4 linked regions of the Schizosaccharomyces pombe genome follow. The gene in region 3 interacts genetically with the main gene of each other region. Each region holds a gene or a part of one and is shown on either strand. Other genes may lie near its edges. The genes, in order: SPOM_SPCC584.03C, utp16, SPOM_SPCC306.07C and csr102.

Evidence for each region.
Region 1: mutations in SPOM_SPCC306.07C (region 3) and SPOM_SPCC584.03C together harm fitness more than expected from each alone (negative genetic interaction), as found in Schizosaccharomyces pombe (one large-scale study listed by BioGRID).
Region 2: mutations in SPOM_SPCC306.07C (region 3) and utp16 together harm fitness more than expected from each alone (negative genetic interaction), as found in Schizosaccharomyces pombe (one large-scale study listed by BioGRID).
Region 4: mutations in SPOM_SPCC306.07C (region 3) and csr102 together harm fitness more than expected from each alone (negative genetic interaction), as found in Schizosaccharomyces pombe (one large-scale study listed by BioGRID).

The regions. Positions count from the first base shown.
Region 1 is NC_003421.2:1,530,807-1,536,410, reverse strand, and holds SPOM_SPCC584.03C (GTPase regulator), read left to right. Parts: upstream 1-1,558; 5' UTR 1,559-1,733; coding exon 1,734-3,389; 3' UTR 3,390-3,657; coding exon of another isoform or gene 3,658-4,066; 3' UTR 4,067-4,110; coding exon of another isoform or gene 4,111-4,203; 3' UTR 4,204-4,253; coding exon of another isoform or gene 4,254-4,285; 3' UTR 4,286-5,097; downstream 5,098-5,604. Other genes in the region: eRF3-like class 2 translation release factor sup35, read right to left, coding at 1-745, 829-958; Cu metalloregulatory transcription factor Cuf2, read right to left, coding at 3,658-4,066, 4,111-4,203, 4,254-4,285.
Region 2 is NC_003423.3:3,649,854-3,653,567, reverse strand, and holds utp16 (U3 snoRNP-associated protein Utp16), read left to right. Parts: upstream 1-1,747; coding exon 1,748-1,785; intron 1,786-1,830; exon of another isoform or gene 1,831-1,851; coding exon 1,852-2,394; exon of another isoform or gene 2,395-2,538; coding exon 2,539-2,941; 3' UTR 2,942-3,207; downstream 3,208-3,714. Other genes in the region: ubiquitin protease cofactor Nxt3, read right to left, coding at 1-888, 1,005-1,079, 1,148-1,261; karyopherin exportin-T Los1, read left to right, coding at 3,487-3,714. UniProt on the Schizosaccharomyces pombe protein: Functions as part of the small subunit (SSU) processome, first precursor of the small eukaryotic ribosomal subunit that coordinates the first two steps of ribosome biogenesis in transcription of the primary transcript pre-RNA and pre-18S processing.
Region 3 is NC_003421.2:419,090-423,098, reverse strand, and holds SPOM_SPCC306.07C (U3 snoRNP-associated Cic1/Utp30 family protein), read left to right. Parts: upstream 1-1,928; 5' UTR 1,929-1,963; coding exon 1,964-2,026; intron 2,027-2,086; coding exon 2,087-2,220; intron 2,221-2,399; exon of another isoform or gene 2,400-2,441; coding exon 2,442-3,099; 3' UTR 3,100-3,470; downstream 3,471-4,009. Other genes in the region: mdh1 (malate dehydrogenase), read left to right, coding at 371-1,396; family protein BIG1, read left to right, coding at 3,626-3,717, 3,780-4,009. UniProt on the Schizosaccharomyces pombe protein: Involved in rRNA-processing and ribosome biosynthesis.
Region 4 is NC_003424.3:586,149-591,269, forward strand, and holds csr102 (sec14 cytosolic factor family phosphatidylinositol transporter), read left to right. Parts: upstream 1-1,730; 5' UTR 1,731-2,776; coding exon 2,777-4,111; 3' UTR 4,112-4,603; downstream 4,604-5,121. Other genes in the region: pdc202 (pyruvate decarboxylase), read left to right, coding at 1-1,164; img2 (mitochondrial 54S ribosomal protein mL49), read left to right, coding at 4,919-5,098.

The sequences.
Region 1 (5,604 bases), 1.1 Mb from region 3:
TCCAAAGCCCAAGAAAGATACCAACTTTCTTTACCAGCTTCTTTAGCTTCTCTCTCTATTTTCTCCATAGTACGCTTGTCAACCATACCAGTCAAGAAAAGAATATTACCACCCAGGGTAGACTTTCCTGCATCAACATGACCTATAAAAACAATATTGACATGTTCCTTTCCATACATATCCTTCAAAAGCTCTTGATCAACCTCATTTTGTAAATCGGTGGCATCCTCAGTGACAGTGGCGGGTTCAGCTGCCTCAGCAGCTTTCTTAAGAGCCGCTGCTGGAGCAGAGGGTGTTTTTGCTAGTTCAGCATCAGCAGATTTTGTAGGAGTTTCCTGGGGAGGAGGAGCAGCGGTCTCCTTCTTTGTTGACTCAGAGGTAACCTTGGGTGCAGGGGTCTCTGTTTTGCTTTGTGCAGCAGGTGCTGCTGGTTTGGTAGTTGTAGGAGCTTTTGTTCCACCAAGGCTGATGCTAATGGGCTTTGTAGACTTAGGAGCAGAGGTGTTTCCACCCAGGGACAAAACCTTTCCTTTGGGAATTGCTGGTTTAGGAGGCACAAAACTCTTCTTTTTAGAAAAATCAGGGACACGGCTTTTATCTTCATCAACAGTGTTTCCTGTTGGCTTTTGGTAGTATTGCTGATAACTCTTCGTAGGATGTGGCGAGTTGCTGTTTTGTCCTTGGCCTGTATATTGGGCATAAGGATAACCACCAGCAATATTGTTCACAGGTACAAATCCGGGGCCTAGCAAGAAGTTAATAATTTTTTTACTTAAAACAAGCAATCATCTCAAGACATATGGATGGTGTTCTAATTAAAAAACGTACGTTGGAAAGAAGGAATGAAGGGAGCAGCTTTAGGCGTAAACGTAGGTGCCTTTGCAGACATCGACAGTTTAGAAGTCTGCTTGGCGAGTTGCTCATCCTGTTCACCGTTATTTGGCTGATTACTAGCCATTTTTTGCCTTTATTAAAATATGTGGTAAAGGGACGGTGATGTTGAAGAGAATTTACACCACAGTATACACTGTGTATTCTTTTATAATATAATATTACGAGTACTTACGATGATATTATTAGCATCCTTTATATAAGCTTGTGCTATAGTAATTCAGTTAAGTTCATAAAATATTATATTTGAGTTTAATTTTACATTTGGTTGTAAAATCGGAAGCAACTGAATTGTAAATTGGTCATTTTCTCGCTTTTTTCTTCAGTAATACGCTATTATTGTCTTAAACAGGTAAAATATATTGACTTGCCTTGGGAGATAAAAAACAGAAACTTCGGTGGGCTTAATACCAAACACAACATTTATTAGCTATTGGGTTGAACAATTAATCAAAAGTTTTTAAATCTATTGGTTAATTAGTCTCCATTGTCACCAATAATCACTGCAAGGATTTTGTCATGGAAGAAACGATGAATCAGCGTTACAGCTTCAAAATATATACCAAGCAAGTTCCAAAAGATTCAATATGTAAATCCATTATATAATTATTCACTTTAGGATTTCCTTATACAAAATTCTATAGGCGTGTTTGGATATTAAACTTCTATCCTCCACATATCACTATGACTTAGCGCAAGTTCTATTTGGTTCTCAATTTACTACGCTTCTTTTTATTTCGTTATTAATTTGTTGTTAAAAGGAATAAATACAATTTGAATGACCATTATTTATTTGTTTAGCCTTGTTTTCTCTTGTGTTTTTTAAAGCCGCCTTTTTAGAAATGGATGAATTACTTAATGTAGCTTCTCATGCTGCGACATTTGCTACGAACTTCGCGTTGAAACATAGTATATCATTTGCAGGAAAATTAGCTGTTCAGCAAGTTAGCAGCTATATTAAACGTGCCTCTGCAGATGATCAAAGTGAATTGGAGTCTGTGAAAACTCAACTGCTTGAAATGATTCGAGTTGTGACGCCTGCTATCGAACTAATTGAAATAATGTCAGTCGGTGAAAATGAAAATTTTAAGAGTACTAAGCAATTAGTGGATTCTTTGCACGCTGACATCGAACAATTCACCAAGCATGTTTTAAGCGCCGCTCATTCGGAATTTCCGCCTTCCTCAGAAAAAGAAACTTTGCAGAAGAACGTTGATACGTCTATTCTTCGTGAAATGAAAACTTTACTTCTCAAAATTAATGATGCAGTTCCTCTCTTAAATCTGTCCATCACTACTTCTGGTGCTTCTATTTCATCTTCTCTTCCAAAATCTACTTCATTTTCCCAACTTCTACGAGCTAATTCATACATATATAGGGCGAATGTTGCATTTACTGGAAATGAACCTTTACAAGTTGGCCCCACATTTTTCCTGCGAACTTATAAAATTATAGATAACCACGCCAAGTCTGGTTATATAAGCAATGATTTAGTCATGTGGAAAGAAGAGATGCCTGTTTGTATCGCCAAAATGTTTCGCATGCCTCCTCAACGGTTGAAGTCCAAGGATACGGTTCTAGCCTATGCTTTATCTTTAAAACAATCTTTTGATGATGATCGTTACCATGATGAAGATGAGACTCCTGTCACCAAAACCATTTCACTAAATGATGTGCGCACGCTTTTTTTTAGTTTGTCCGGTAAACTTCTTCGGTTAGATGATGTACAAACTCCCGTATTATTACTCAAGTATGCAGATGATGAAACAGAGTATTCTTCAAATACAGCACCTTCGAACTGGATAGCTTTAGAAGCACTTCCTTTGGTATCAATACCTAATGAATCATTAGACGAATCTGATGAACTTGCAGAATCTCTTAGTGATTCTGAAGCTGCTAGGCTACAGCTTTTAGGCATCAAAAAACAAGAATCCGTTGCAAAGAAAAAGTCTTCCTTTCCATCGACTATAAAAGATCAACCTAATTTAACTTTACTGGAGTATTTGATTAGATTATGCGCGCTCGAAAGTACTACCCAAGAATCAGTTTTACAATTACCTGACGAACAAATTGCATTGTATCTTAAAGATTATCAAGGAAGAGAGAGGCCCCGAGATCCGGCTTCATATAATGCCTTAGAAAATCGAAGTGAACTAAGCGCCAGTCCAGGTTCAGTATCCTCCTCCAGACATTCTGGAATTTTTGCGACACCAACGTTTCTGTCACCATGGAATATTAAAAACATACCTCTTGTTACCCCTGAAGTTTCAACACGTCAAACGAAAAATGTTGATGAAGAGGATTCAGCTTTATTGATGGCTAGCCCTTCTGTCCGGAAGTCCAATTTACTTCCTCAGGAGGACCTCATTTCAAAGGATTCTGTGATTAAATTAAAAGAAAACCCTTCTGTTATTCCTCATTCCGAGCCTGAATCATCGTCGAAAGTTATCAACTGCCAGGCTAAATTAAATGTGGAAAAAGAAAAGAAAAACCCGTGAAAACTTTATCAGAGTAATATTGACGCTATTCAATACACAACTATTCTAAATTTCACTTCCCATGGGAAATCCTTGAAATGGTGTTTGATCCCCAGTAAATTTGAATACATAGATTTCTCTAATGTTATATGCACCTTTTTAGACGACCAAAACATTCAAATTACTTCATCTTTTTATGATTGAATACTTTATGTGAGAGTACTTATACATATGATATGACAATAACCTTCATTTGTCGCTATTTGGAATAATAACGAAAGTTGTGAATTCAAGGGATTCCGGATATATCGTCTTTGGAATGTAAGTACTTTGCGAAATTGAAAATATCGGCCTCTTGGTTTATGGTAAAAGAATCGTTTTCTTTTTCATTCAATTGACTTGCATCAATGCGATTAGAAGCATCTGTTAGTGAAAGAGGTTTCCTATATCCTAATATATCTTCACTGATGGGTAGTGTTCTTCCTAAATCGAAGGTGTAGGCTTGACTTGCAGGATTTAAAGAAGAATTCATAATATCTTTGTCGGTTGAAAACAAAAAAAGGCTAGCCAATATTGGGTTTTTCTGAGTGAAATTTAATAACTCCTGATACTCATTGGCGAAGGGTAGAAAAGGCTGCAAATGACAAACGCATTTTAAATTACTCTTAAGTTGTTGTTTTATGGCTCTGCATTTTTTGCTGAATTTCAAGTTAATATTTTTTTTCTGATCAATGTGACATACCATAGTAACGGCCTTCCTCTAGTTCGAACTTCTATCAGTGCCCTTTCTTGATGCTGGCAGGATGAGCCTCGATGACCTCGAAGGCATACAACACTAGAGTAAGTGTTAAAAATTTTATCTTATAACCATACAAAAAGTCTTACCAAGCATAATTCTTACCGTCAATAATGATCATGATTGAAGGTATTTGTGATTAAGGGAAAAGAAGACAAGTAGGATTCGAGTAAATAAGCTAGTCGAGGAACGTTTTAAATAAATTCCTCTTATACGTTCTCTTCCTTTAGGTTGATAAATTGTAAATGACAGCTTTTTCCCAAATTCCTTTTTCCTCGTCTCTGCTTTAGCTTTCTGATCCAGAAGAATTGCACAACGGATATTAATAGAAGACAAGACGAACAGCTAAGTGTTTTAAAATAATATACTTTACTTTTAAATATTTCCAATGTTTGTTGTTTGTCAAAAGTTTGAGTGCTGGCATAAATTATTTATAAGCTCTAGCTATGGACATTTGTTTACATATTATGGGATAAACAAATACATCAACTTATTGACACTAACCAACAATAACATACAAAATAGGAAGGTATTAAATCACTATGTTCAATGTTTTTGAGCACAATTTCGTAGAAAAGATAATTTTGATTTAATGAGTGTGCAAACTGATCAAATTGTGATTTTTCCTCGAGGCGATTTCATTCTATGTTTTTATGATTGCGTCAATTCTCTAAGCAGTTTTGCGATTTTCTGCACTCTAAACTTGTTAAATAACTTTTGTTTGCAAAAGGTACCAGATGCTATAAAGACTGGATTTTGTTAATATACTACTTTATATTATAACATATATGATTTTCAGATTACAAAACAGCTTAAAAGTTTGCAACCTAAAGACATAATAACTTTTTTATTGATTGCTCATTTATTTTAATTGATTATTATTTTTCAGGGTTATATCGAGTTACTTTGTTTTAATGTCAGGTTTAAAAAAATAATTAAATGAAAGTAAATGTAAAATGAGGTAGGCTTGTCAGACCCTTCAAATTTTTTTAAAAAAAATTGAAATATTTCTTTCAGAAAGGTATGATTAAACTCACAATTTTTTTCGATTTCAAAAAATCTTTTAATCAATTTGAATATTTGCTACCTACAAATATTGTCACATAATAGAAATGTAGACGAAGTGATTTCATCAAATTAAGGAACGTTCAGTATTTTAAAAAAAGATATGTAAATTCTACAATTTGTGACGATTTGGAGATGCTACTATTTGAAATGTAAATGTATTTACATAAATGTATATTTGCTGCTAGATGCTGATATACTGGGTATAATGAACATAATTACAGCACAGTACTTAGATGCATTTAGCGCACTATGAATAAATCAGTAAATATTGAATACCTGTCAATTTTCTGGAGATAAAACTAACTAGCTAAACTAAAATCATATAATGGAGCTTCTAAAATCAAGTACGTTGCTGAAATCGAACACATCAAT
Region 2 (3,714 bases), on a different chromosome or scaffold from region 3:
GTTGACAAAATCAACATATGCGGTGCCTTTGCGACGAGCAAACTCAATAGCCTTGACTGGTCCAAAAATGCTCATAGCAGATTTCAATGACACATCAGATGTTTCGGGAGGAATGTTCTTGACGAATACAGATGTCTCCAACAGTTCATTACTCTGAGTGTACGGCGCTGTTGGCTGCTGAGTTTGGTCAGCATTAACACCTTTAACTGTTTGACCAGTTGTAGACGCAGTAGAACTAACTGATGCTTGGGATTTCACATCAGGATGATTACGAGCTATGAGATCAGCCCAAGATTTAGGTGCTGTAGCAACATTTGCATCGCTAGCCCCTATAGCATCAGCATTCTTCGAGTTTGAAGTCAGAGCTTCATCTTGAAGCTGATTTTCCTGCTGAGAAACAAAACTTGGGACTGAGGCTTCCGTAACTTGGATAACGGGTTCTTCAGGAACAGCCAAAGTAGCTTGATTTAGACTGTCGGTCTCATTTGATATAAGAGCGGCTGTGGCAAAATTATTTTCTGTAGCAGCTGGATCCTGGTAATGGCCTTCTTCTTTTGCAGAAGGTAAATGTTCTTGAGATTGCACGCCATTTACGTAAGGTTCAGAAGCAACATCTTTTTTCTCTTTTTCAACAGCATCAGGTGACTCCTCTTCTTCCTCAACATCTTCACGCAAAAAACGGAAAATATCGTTTAAAACAAAATAACCATTTGGTTGTTCTGCAAGGAAAAATGTTTGAGCAAATTTTCTGGATAATTTCCCCTTATTAGACATTTCACCCAGGACCTGGATGACAATGCCACCATTCGAAGAAGCCAAACTGTCAACGTTTGAAATAAGTACTTTGCAATTTTGAAAGTCCAAGTCCAATATCTTGTTATGAATTTCCTAACACGTTAATAAAATGACTATTGGGCAAGACAACGATCATAGAGTTTCGAAAATCGCAAGCAGAATATCACAACCTCAAAAACTTTACATATAAGAATTGTGTTAAAGCATACCTGTTGTCCATGACAAAGACTAATACTCTCGCCTTCGTCTCCGTGAATTAAAGTTGACTTTTTAGTATAGAAACACTGTATTACAGTTAGTACGGTTCACAAGTTGAAGAAAAAAAAACTTTTGGTAAATTATGACGACCTACATGAAGACGATTGGGTTCTTTATTTAAATATGTATAATATTCTTGAACGAACATCCATCCTATCTCATCCTTTCCCAAAACTGGTTCTAATAATGTGGCATTTTCCGCAGTCATGTTTTATTTAACTGTGACAATAGCTATACAAAGAACAGAAAATCTGGCTCTAAAAGACCCAAAACAAAATTCGGTCGTGTCTTATGTTTTCCGTGCGTTGGTCTTTTTAATGTCCCATCTCCTTGCTTTCAATGTCCGTGATTACAGCATTTCGTAATTGGATTTAACGAGACTAAACGATATTTCTGTTGATCTTTTACATTCAACTTGTTCGCATAAGTAAGTTAGTTGATGGAAAGAGAGACCTTTTGGTCAGAAAATTGTTTGGTTTTTCATTTCAACAAATAACATAAACATCATATGATTTACCATAGATCAAAGTTGCATATATTTCTTTCTATTATTGTTTTGCAAATTGATTATATTAGAAACGTTAATTCATTGGAAACCACTAAACATTTTGAATAGTAATACGACTATATACTGTGCTAGAGAGATTAACCTGCTAATGATTTTGCCAAAAGTCAATTAGTTTAACAGCTTTAAATGCAATCGTCTAGAAAAATTATGATACTAAAAAGAAAGTATGCGAGCCTTTAAATCATTTAATTAACGAAAATTGAAATTACTTTCTTCTTCTTATTTACCAGCATTAAAGGGTTAAAATCTAGTGCTATAATTGCAACGTATCTTACTTTAAATAAATTATTTATTGATAAATTTTGTAAGACTCAGGAAAGTACCTATCCTATCCATTTTGTTCACTGCCATTTTGGTGGCATTAAGAAGTTTCACTCGCATTGCCAGTTATCCTCCTCCTACACCAATTCAGGTCAAAAAAGTTTCAAATCCTTTAATAGTCTTCGTTTTATAGTATTAAAATCCAAAACTTGTCTGTTAAGGTATAAACTTCTGATAAAGACATTTTGTTGCATTACTTATTCGAAAATTGAAAATTTGTCAAATACTAGAATGGCAAGATTGACTGCCCCAAGCAAAGGTCCTTCATTTTCAAATTTAAACAAACCAAATGATTTGTTGAAAGCGGAAATTGAAGATAATGAAGCCTCACACTACTCTCAAAATCAATCATCTGACAGTGATTCTGATGAAGCACCTGAAGAAGTTTCGCTGAAGAGCAGCAGCGATGAGGTAAAAAAGAGACTTCAACGTCTGAAAGGGAATGAATTACAGTAAGTTTTAATAAACGGAATGAGGGAAACACTTAAAAATACTATTTGTTTTGGTTTGAGACAGAATAATAATTTGTTTGATAAAAGTTCGACTGCTCATTTCGTTTCCTTGCTTTTGATAGTATTATTTTTAACACATTTTAGGCTTCGAAAAGCTGAAAGAGAAAAACGTAGACTGCAAAATGAAAGAAATCGTGAAAGAAATGCCCAACGGGTAAGCGCATCAAAGTTGGATTTGGCTATTCTTGAGGCAGCTGAAGTTGAAGAAATTAATAGTACCACGGAAATCGAAGAAAAGGTTGACGAAGCAAGCCTTGACCTATATACTCCAAAAGGACATAAAATTGTTTTTCCTAATAACGAAATTCCTAAAAAACGTACTCGTTCATTTCGTAAAGGTGATTTTAAAGTGAGCGTTCTTAAAGAAACAAATGACCCTTTACTAGCGCCGAACTATGAAAAGAAACTGTCACAGCGTAAACGGGATTGGATAAATCGACAATCAGTTCCCCGGGCGTCTAAAAGACGACGTCCCTTGACTTATTAATTTTCCTTTCTCTATTTGGCAACACATTCGCTGTAAATTGAAAGTCAGGCACAAGCATTGCATTTTCTGTTAATATAAGGGTTTACTTTTTTGTTTATTAATAATATTGGTTGGGAAAAGGTTGTCTGGGTTCTAAAACATTCATTATTTGAAGCTTTGGACATGCTAAGTGCAGTTTACGGCTGTTTTTTTGGTAAATGTTTAACATAGTATTTTTAAAAATAAACACTTTAGACAAACATGAGTTAATTAAAGTTGTATCAAGGATTTATTGCCATGCACTAGAGGAAATTCGCTCATGTAACGTTTCGTACATCATAGATATTATAGATATCAGTAGCTATAGCTCATAAGGCCAAAATTTGCATAAATATATTATTAATTGTCTAGTGTATGAACATTTACTACTTATAATTATAAAATATTTGCATATAAATTTCTGAGATGGTTTGTACTTTCGACTACTTGCACTAGGCAAACTTCGCTTTTTAGCACCACAAAAATTTTGTCACTTCAAAGCATTGTTGACCTTCACCTCTGCAGCCATGTCGGCCCAGGATGTCGAAAACGCAGTAGAAGCAGCATTAGATCCTTCTGTAGGACCAATAATAAAGCAACAAGCTACAGATTTTATTGGTAGCCTTAGAAGCTCATCTACAGGTTGGAAAATATGCCATGAAATTTTTAGTGAAAAAACGAAATATAAACCATCAACAAGACTGATTTGCCTTCAAACTCTTAGTGAGAAAGTTAGAGAATGGAACAATGAAAGC
Region 3 (4,009 bases):
ACTTTCTGAAGGAATATTTTATAAGAGATGCTATACGCATATGCTTTTTTATGCTTAGAATCGGCATGAGGAGTTTGTTTGTAACCAGGATGTCGAGTAGCTTTGCTTTGCTAGTCAGTCCGTATAAACGTTATGGTGTAGGATGCGGCTACTCATGTTTGCATATATATACATATTTTATTTTCAACAAATTTTTCTAACTTTTGATATAGTGTCTAGTATCTTCTGAAGAAAAGAAGAATCAACCTTTCAACTGGACATTTTCTATTGAAATTTCTTTTACCCCCCTCTCTGTCTCACACACACTCTCTCTATTTTTTTTAAATACCCGTGTTCTCTACTTTGCTTTGCGAATTTGTACCTTTCAAAGATGTTTGCCAAAGTAGCTTTCAAAAACTTTACTCCCCTTAAGAGTATCGCTCCCCGTTCTTTTTCTACGACCTCCAGTCGCGCATTCAAAGTAGCCGTTTTGGGTGCTGGAGGAGGTATTGGCCAGCCTTTGTCAATGCTTTTAAAACTGAACGATAAGGTTAGTGAATTGGCCTTGTTCGATATTAGGGGAGCTCCTGGCGTTGCTGCCGATATTGGACATATCAATACCACTTCCAATGTTGTTGGCTATGCTCCTGATGACAAGGGACTTGAAAAAGCCTTGAACGGTGCTGATGTGGTCATTATTCCTGCTGGTGTTCCCCGTAAGCCCGGAATGACTCGTGATGATCTCTTTGCTACTAACGCATCGATTGTGCGGGACCTTGCTTTTGCAGCAGGTGAAACTTGTCCCGAAGCCAAATATCTCGTTGTCACTAACCCCGTAAACTCTACTGTGCCCATCTTTAAAAAGGCTTTAGAACGTGTTGGCGTTCATCAACCCAAACATTTGTTTGGTGTCACCACACTTGACTCTGTTCGTGCCAGCCGTTTCACCTCTCAAGTCACTAATGGCAAGGCAGAACTTCTTCATATTCCTGTTGTTGGCGGTCATTCCGGTGCGACCATCGTACCTTTGTTGTCCCAAGGCGGTGTTGAATTGACTGGTGAAAAGCGTGACGCACTTATTCACCGTATCCAATTTGGTGGTGATGAGGTTGTAAAGGCGAAGGCTGGTGCTGGAAGTGCGACCTTGTCTATGGCCTATGCCGGTGCTCGTATGGCCTCCTCCGTACTCCGTGCTTTGGCTGGTGAGTCTGGCGTTGAGGAATGCACCTTTGTGGAGTCCCCTCTGTACAAGGATCAAGGAATTGATTTCTTTGCCTCTCGTGTAACTTTGGGTAAGGATGGGGTTGACACCATTCACCCTGTTGGTAAAATCAATGATTATGAGGAGAGCCTTCTTAAGGTAGCTTTGGGTGAGCTGAAAAAGAGCATTACGAAGGGTGAGCAATTTGTAGCATAATCTTTTATGAATAACAGAAATGATATGATATTCTTTATGAATGTTTGTTTTCTCTTGCTTCTTTCGTGTGTGTTATTTCTTTTACTTTAGTCAAAAAGTAATCTGTATACTGCATTCATAGTGTAGGTATGAATGTAAAAATTATGTTACAAGGTTTCCTTTTATATGTGCGGTTGTATAGAAATTTCATATCTATTGAATTCCGTTTTTACAGTCGAATAGATGAGGGTTTTCAATATGCGGAGTTTTGCGAAAAGCGATGATTCAAATTTACAATAACCACTAAAAGAAAATTGTTAAACAAGTAATAGATAATAAGTTTTCCATTCATTCGACATTTGCGGTTCTTGAGTTGTTGGCCTTATTTATCTAGTATCGTTTCAAAGCCATCAATTTAATAAGGCCATGGCATATAAGACAGAACAATTGTTCTTTGATTAATTCTTTACAAACTAAACTTTGATAATGATATGCTACAGAACTTTCAATAGCATTGTAATATTAACTTCTCTGACCAACCCAAGTTGAACTTGCAAAAAGCCATCCATTACTTACATCTTAATAGAAATGGCGATTACAAGTGAAAAAAAGAAAAATTTAAAGTCATTGGATAAAATTGACATAAAATTAGTAAGAAATTTTTTTTTTAATTTCAAATTATCGTGCAATTTACTTACAAATAATCAATAGCTAGAGAAAACAATTAGAGCCCTGCTGCAGCACATTCGATCCTCTGATAAACCTATTGAAAAAGAAAAGGTTTATATTCAGGTTAATACATTCCAACCCGTTGAGAAAGAGTCGCTTAGAAGACCATCAAAAGTGTAAGTGAGCATTAATGATGAATTAAGTTTCCTGAAGTAATAAGATCAACAATAAAATTTTTGTTCTTATAATTACTTAAAACCTTAAGCTTCTACTGCTTGTGCAGAAATAAAGAGGTATTACGGTTTTGTTGATTTGCTAATAAATCAAGCTTGTTGTAACATTCATAGAATCGATGCGTGTTCTTCATTAAAATTATAAGGTACTAACTATTTTACAGATTCCTTCCGCACAGGATAATGCATGTAACAGATGCTTGTTTGATTGTGAAAGATTCACAGCAGACATATCAAGATCTGGTGGAGCAACAAGGGCTTGACGAAGTCATTACAAAAGTACTTAGCATCCCGAGATTGAAATTAAAGTATAAAACAATCCGAGAAAAATGTGAGCTACGAGACTCTCACAACCTTTTTTTGGTTGATGATCGTGTATTAAAATACATCCCCCTATTGATGGGGAAAGTTTTTGAACAGAAAAAAATTAAGCCATTTCCTATTTCTGTTTTACAAAAGAAAGAGACTTTGCGTAATCAAGTTGCTCGTTGTCTTCATTCTACTTATCTTAAGTTATCTGCCGGCACTAGTCATACCATTCTCTGTGGTTTGGCCACTCAAACCAATGAACAATTGTTGGAGAATATTACGACTGTATTGAAGTGTCTGCTAACTAATTTCATTCCGAAAGGGTGGTCTGCAATTGATAATGTTGCGATTAAAACAGCTGACAGTGCCTCTCTGCCAATTTGGACTAGTGACACCAATCTTGCTGCTCATAAAAGACACATTGTGCACATTCAAGATGCAAGACCTCTTAAGAAAAGTGAACTGCGTGCTCAAAAACGGGGTTCTTCTGGAGAAGGCAAAGGGAATAAGTGAAACTGACTTTCGCTTTCCTAAATTGAAAAAAAAAAGTATTTTAAAATAATTACCATTTTTCTACTAAGGCTAGAAGAAAGAGTTTTGACAATGTATTTATAAACACCATTTGACTTTGCCTGTTTCAAATTTCTGATACATTTCTTTCCTTCGATGTTAATTAGTTATGTGAAAAAGCTTTGAGTGGCTGAAAGCAAAAGGGATTTACAAGGGCACGTCTTTTATAAACGGGTATTTTGGACTGAGTAATAAATAAGGGTTTTTGTGTATAACAAGTGTCATGGACTATTGTCATGATTTTGGAACAAAATCTACACCGTCTTGTGTTTTGTAGTATTATTTTTTTCTCGTAAATAACATGTTATATTTACATAATCTATCTGCTTATATGTAGCTTGTTCATTCAGAAGGATTTTAGTACCTTTAGATACTGAAAGTAGTATATAGAGCTATTCTCTACCACTCCAACGCTCAAGCAATTGACAACATCCAAACTTGTCCAAAGTAAAGAAAATTTAGTGTCAAAATGTTTTCTTGGAGTATTTTATTTATAGTTTGCTTTTCTTTAGTATCAGCATTTAAAGATACTTCGCCGATTTTCTTATTTTCTACGAACTCGTATGTCCTGCATCCATCGATGGCATTATACTGTGTAAATTATTTAATCTAACTAAAAACAGCAAACTCCCCAAATCATCCGATGATTCTTCAATATCCACTTGCCCTATGATGTTTTTTGACGCCGCAATTGAGGCACTTTCGACATGCAATACAGCTACCTTAATTATACATCAACCAGGCCTTGAGGTTAATGATTTTCAGTTGGGAGCTTTTAAACATTTAAAGCGTGTTTCTTTGCAATCACCCTATAGCTTACTTCTTCCTTATTCCAAGGAGTCTTTGGACTCAC
Region 4 (5,121 bases), on a different chromosome or scaffold from region 3:
GGGAAAAGACTAAAGCTCGAGGAGGATACTAACGATCCAGCAGTTGAGCAAGAAGTCATCAATCATATCTCGGAAATGGTTGTCAATGCAAAGAAACCAGTGATTTTAATTGACGCTTGTGCTGTAAGACATCGTGTCGTTCCAGAAGTACATGAGCTGATTAAATTGACCCATTTCCCTACATATGTAACTCCCATGGGTAAATCTGCAATTGACGAAACTTCGCAATTTTTTGACGGCGTTTATGTTGGTTCAATTTCAGATCCTGAAGTTAAAGACAGAATTGAATCCACTGATCTGTTGCTATCCATCGGTGCTCTCAAATCAGACTTTAACACGGGTTCCTTCTCTTACCACCTCAGCCAAAAGAATGCCGTTGAGTTTCATTCAGACCACATGCGCATTCGATATGCTCTTTATCCAAATGTAGCCATGAAGTATATTCTTCGCAAACTGTTGAAAGTACTTGATGCTTCTATGTGTCATTCCAAGGCTGCTCCTACCATTGGCTACAACATCAAGCCTAAGCATGCGGAAGGATATTCTTCCAACGAGATTACTCATTGCTGGTTTTGGCCTAAATTTAGTGAATTTTTGAAGCCCCGAGATGTTTTGATCACCGAGACTGGAACTGCAAACTTTGGTGTCCTTGATTGCAGGTTTCCAAAGGATGTAACAGCCATTTCCCAGGTATTATGGGGATCTATTGGATACTCCGTTGGTGCAATGTTTGGTGCTGTTTTGGCCGTCCACGATTCTAAAGAGCCCGATCGTCGTACCATTCTTGTAGTAGGTGATGGATCCTTACAACTGACGATTACAGAGATTTCAACCTGCATTCGCCATAACCTCAAACCAATTATTTTCATAATTAACAACGACGGTTACACCATTGAGCGTTTAATTCATGGTTTGCATGCTAGCTATAACGAAATTAACACTAAATGGGGCTACCAACAGATTCCCAAGTTTTTCGGAGCTGCTGAAAACCACTTCCGCACTTACTGTGTTAAAACTCCTACTGACGTTGAAAAGTTGTTTAGCGACAAGGAGTTTGCAAATGCAGATGTCATTCAAGTAGTTGAGCTTGTAATGCCTATGTTGGATGCACCTCGTGTCCTAGTTGAGCAAGCCAAGTTGACGTCTAAGATCAATAAGCAATGAGCAAGCTATTGAGAGTGGAATTGGCAAACAAAGTTTCCTTTGATTTATATGTTTTTTATGATAAGCCCATTCAATTCATATAGTCTTTTAGTATAATGATTAGTTATTAAATTTATGTTTAAAGCAACTTTTTAGTTTAAAATTTTTCAAGTCAAGTTAGGGTGTACGTAAACAAACAATACCTTGGAAGCAATGAATGAAAAGGTAGAGTTAATCCAAACAATGTGGAAACCAGTTTCCTTGCATCTACTTACTAGTTTCGCAGAAAAATTGCTAAACTGCTTAAAAGCCAACTTTAACATTCTTATTTCTTACATAGGAGCTACCGTTCCATTCACATTGTGATATGCTAAGAATTTATTAGTTTTACAAAAATTGGGTGATTCTACTATTTAATACAGTGGTTTTGTAACGTAATGAAATTATAACGCTCGTTTATTACGATTTCCTAGGTAATGTAGCGGGTAAAGGCAATTGACTGATATTATGTATCACTCTATCACAGCAACGGACGAACGGTTTGCGTTGTTGTTTATAAATGGTTCTGCAACGCAGCTTCTGACTTTGACACTCTACACCACACCATACTTCAGCGCTCTATTCTTTCGCATAGGAAGGTAAGCTGCATTTCGTGGCGTTTGGTACCTTGAAAAAATATATTTTGGTTAATATTCGTTGGCTTTTTCTTTTAATTCTTGCTACTAATTCCAAGAATTGTGTAAGTATAGGAAGAGGCTGTGTTGATCGGTTAGTTTCGTAATTTCGGCATACTAGTGATTCCTAAAATACCGACTACTAATAATTATAAAGCTTAGATCACTTCTTTGGCTAAAGTAATTAAACCAGGAAGTCTTAAAATTCCGCTTTTTAGCATCCTAAAAATTTCCCCGTCATTTCTCAAAAGTGTTAAACGCGTGAATGTTCTCAAAGCTCTGTTTTCTTTTCTTTGCTTTTTGAACGGCTTTGTCTTTGCATTAATTTTTGTGACGCGTTTTGTGCCTCCAATAGGTAATTAATCTAAATCCGTTTAAAAAGTTGTAGGTGACTTTTTATTTTATTACGTTTTGCTTTCATAAAAAAATCCATTTCCTTCTGTGCGTTGCATATTCATTAATATATCACTTTGATATACATTAAGGTGAATTAGAAATTATTGAGCTCCTCTCCCTTTGTTATTATTTCACGCTTTTTCTCAGGCCCACTTATAGTCCTCTGAGGAATTTTTTATCTTTTTTTTTAAAATACCAACTCAGTTTTTGTCGAGTGATTCTTCTTTTTTATTCATTCATTCGGTTAACTAAGTTCCCTATATTATTTTGTTTTCTACTACAAGCATTACGTTTTGTTTTTCAGTGAGCTTGTTTCGCATCTCTGACCAAAAGGAAGCAAATTGACGGCTAGTGTATTTTTGACTCGTCACATTCTTTTGTCTATCTTTGCCAATTTTTCAAATTATTATATATCTTCGAGATTAACCTCCATTCTTTAGGCTTATTCTCGTAATTTCCTTCTCAATTGAGTTCAATTTTATTAATATTGATTTCATCTGATATATTTTTTCCTTGGACTTTTTCTAGATTATATTTGTTTGCGCGCAATTTACTTATTAAATATGCCTGAAGGAGCCGGTAGACCGTGGAATCTCACAGAACTTGAAGAAGAGAAGTTGAAGACTATGTGGAGTTATTTGTTTAAGCTCTTCGGCATTACTTTACTCGAAAGAACTGAATCTTGGTACACAGTGAAGACACACTTATCTGATGATTCAAGTAGTTCCTCATCACATCGTTTAAGCAGCGTCTCATATGCGAAATCCCGTACACGACTTGAACTAACGTCTTCATCTCATGGCTCGGACACTCGCAGTTTTAATGATAAAACCAAAAATGTGCATTTGGAAAGAGTTGAAAAAATTGCAAGTGAATGGGACCCGGAAGGGCTTAGAGTTTGCTTTTGGGATGCTGTTAATTGTGATGATCCTGATGGCCTTCTACTTCGTTTCCTTCGTGCTCGAAAATGGAACGTTGAGGCTGCGTTGGAAATGTTCATGAAAACCGTTCACTGGAGAAGTAGAGAGATGAATGTTGGTGAAATTGTATGTAACGCTGACCACCTTGATAAAGATGATGATTTTGTGCGTCAACTAAGAATCGGAAAGTGTTTTATATTCGGTGAAGATAAACACAATCGTCCAGTTTGTTATATTCGCGCACGTCTTCATAAAGTTGGTGATGTCTCACCCGAATCGGTTGAGCGACTCACAGTTTGGGTCATGGAAACTGCTCGTTTAATTCTCAAACCTCCTATTGAAACTGCTACTGTTGTTTTTGATATGACTGATTTCAGTATGTCCAATATGGACTATGGGCCATTGAAATTCATGATCAAGTGTTTTGAAGCACACTATCCCGAATGTCTGGGTGAATGTATTGTACACAAAGCGCCTTGGCTTTTCCAAGGCGTTTGGTCCATCATCAAATCTTGGCTTGATCCAGTGGTTGTCTCAAAGGTTAAATTCACTCGTAATTATCGTGATTTGCAACAATATATAAATCCTGACAATATTTTAAAAGAATTCGGTGGGCCTAATCCATGGAGATATACATATCCAGAACCCTGTCAAAACGAAGCAGAAGCTCTGAAGAATGTTGAAGCTCGTAAGAGTCTTAGAGCAAAAAAGGATGCAATTGCTAAACAGTACGAGGAAGTTACAATGGATTGGATTTTGAACAATGGTGACATGGCAGAAGTGAAACAAAAACGTCGTAAGTTAGCTTCACAACTTATTGATGCATACTGGAACTTGGATAAATACATCCGCGCACGCTCAGTTTACGACCGCATGGGCCTAATTGCTCCTCAAACTTCCCATACTTTGCTTCTTTCTCAACCTACAAATGGAGATGTCAAAGAATCAATGGTAGAAGTTACTAGCTCGGCAACTTAGTCGGTCGTAACTTTCAATATTCCTGCTATTTTACATTGTAATCCTTCCCCTTGCCTATACTCCCGTATACTGACTAATTGTACTTTCCCGTGTTATTCTAAATAAGATGCTGGCTCAAAATATGATTGTATCATCTATTAATGCATAACTTTCAAGATCTTTTATATCAATTAGTTACATATGAAATCTCTTTCCTACGTTGATTTTTACACCCCTTTTCGTTTTACCATTTCCTTATCGCTTTAATTTTTTAGCACTCTCTTTAATGCACTTAAAATCATCTAGAAAGGGATAACTTTTTTTAGGTCTTATGGCTTTTCATTGAAGTTGTTGGTCGCAATACTTATCCATCCATTTTGTCTTTATTAGAATCAATGATCAGTTTTATTTGCAAATTAACTTAGATTTCTTGCTATTTATTATTATTTTTTATTTTATTGTAGGAAAGCGGTTCGAAATTAAAAAAAACAACAAGCTGAACACCTAAATGCCTACTCCAAAATATAGTATTAATTTAATGAGTATGCACCTTCGCTGAAGTATATTCCGTGCCGTAAAAATACTTTCGAGTTTAAACACGCGTGAGGTTCAAGCACCGATTAAATTTATTTAAAACAAGAGCGTTTTATTTTATTTTAATTGTTCTTAGTGAATCACTTAATCTTAGGCTCCTGTTTGACAGTTGTTTAAAACTTACAAATTTTTGGAGGTTATGATAGAAATCCTCTTTATTCGCGAATGCACGACGACTTCTTTTACACATCCACCATAAATTCCTGCAACTCGTAGAAAGTTTTGTTGAACCAAATGCGATCATCCTTAAAGCCAGTGCTATCAAATTTGAGGTTCAACTCAACAATTGCATCCGAATCACTTCGGTTTCATGTTTCACGTACACCTTCAAAAAATCTCCCAGTCTATCTAGACTACAAACAACGAGGAACGAAAATTCTGACTTTAATTCGTAAAATCCATGGTGATTCTAATGTAAGTATACATATTCCGTCAGC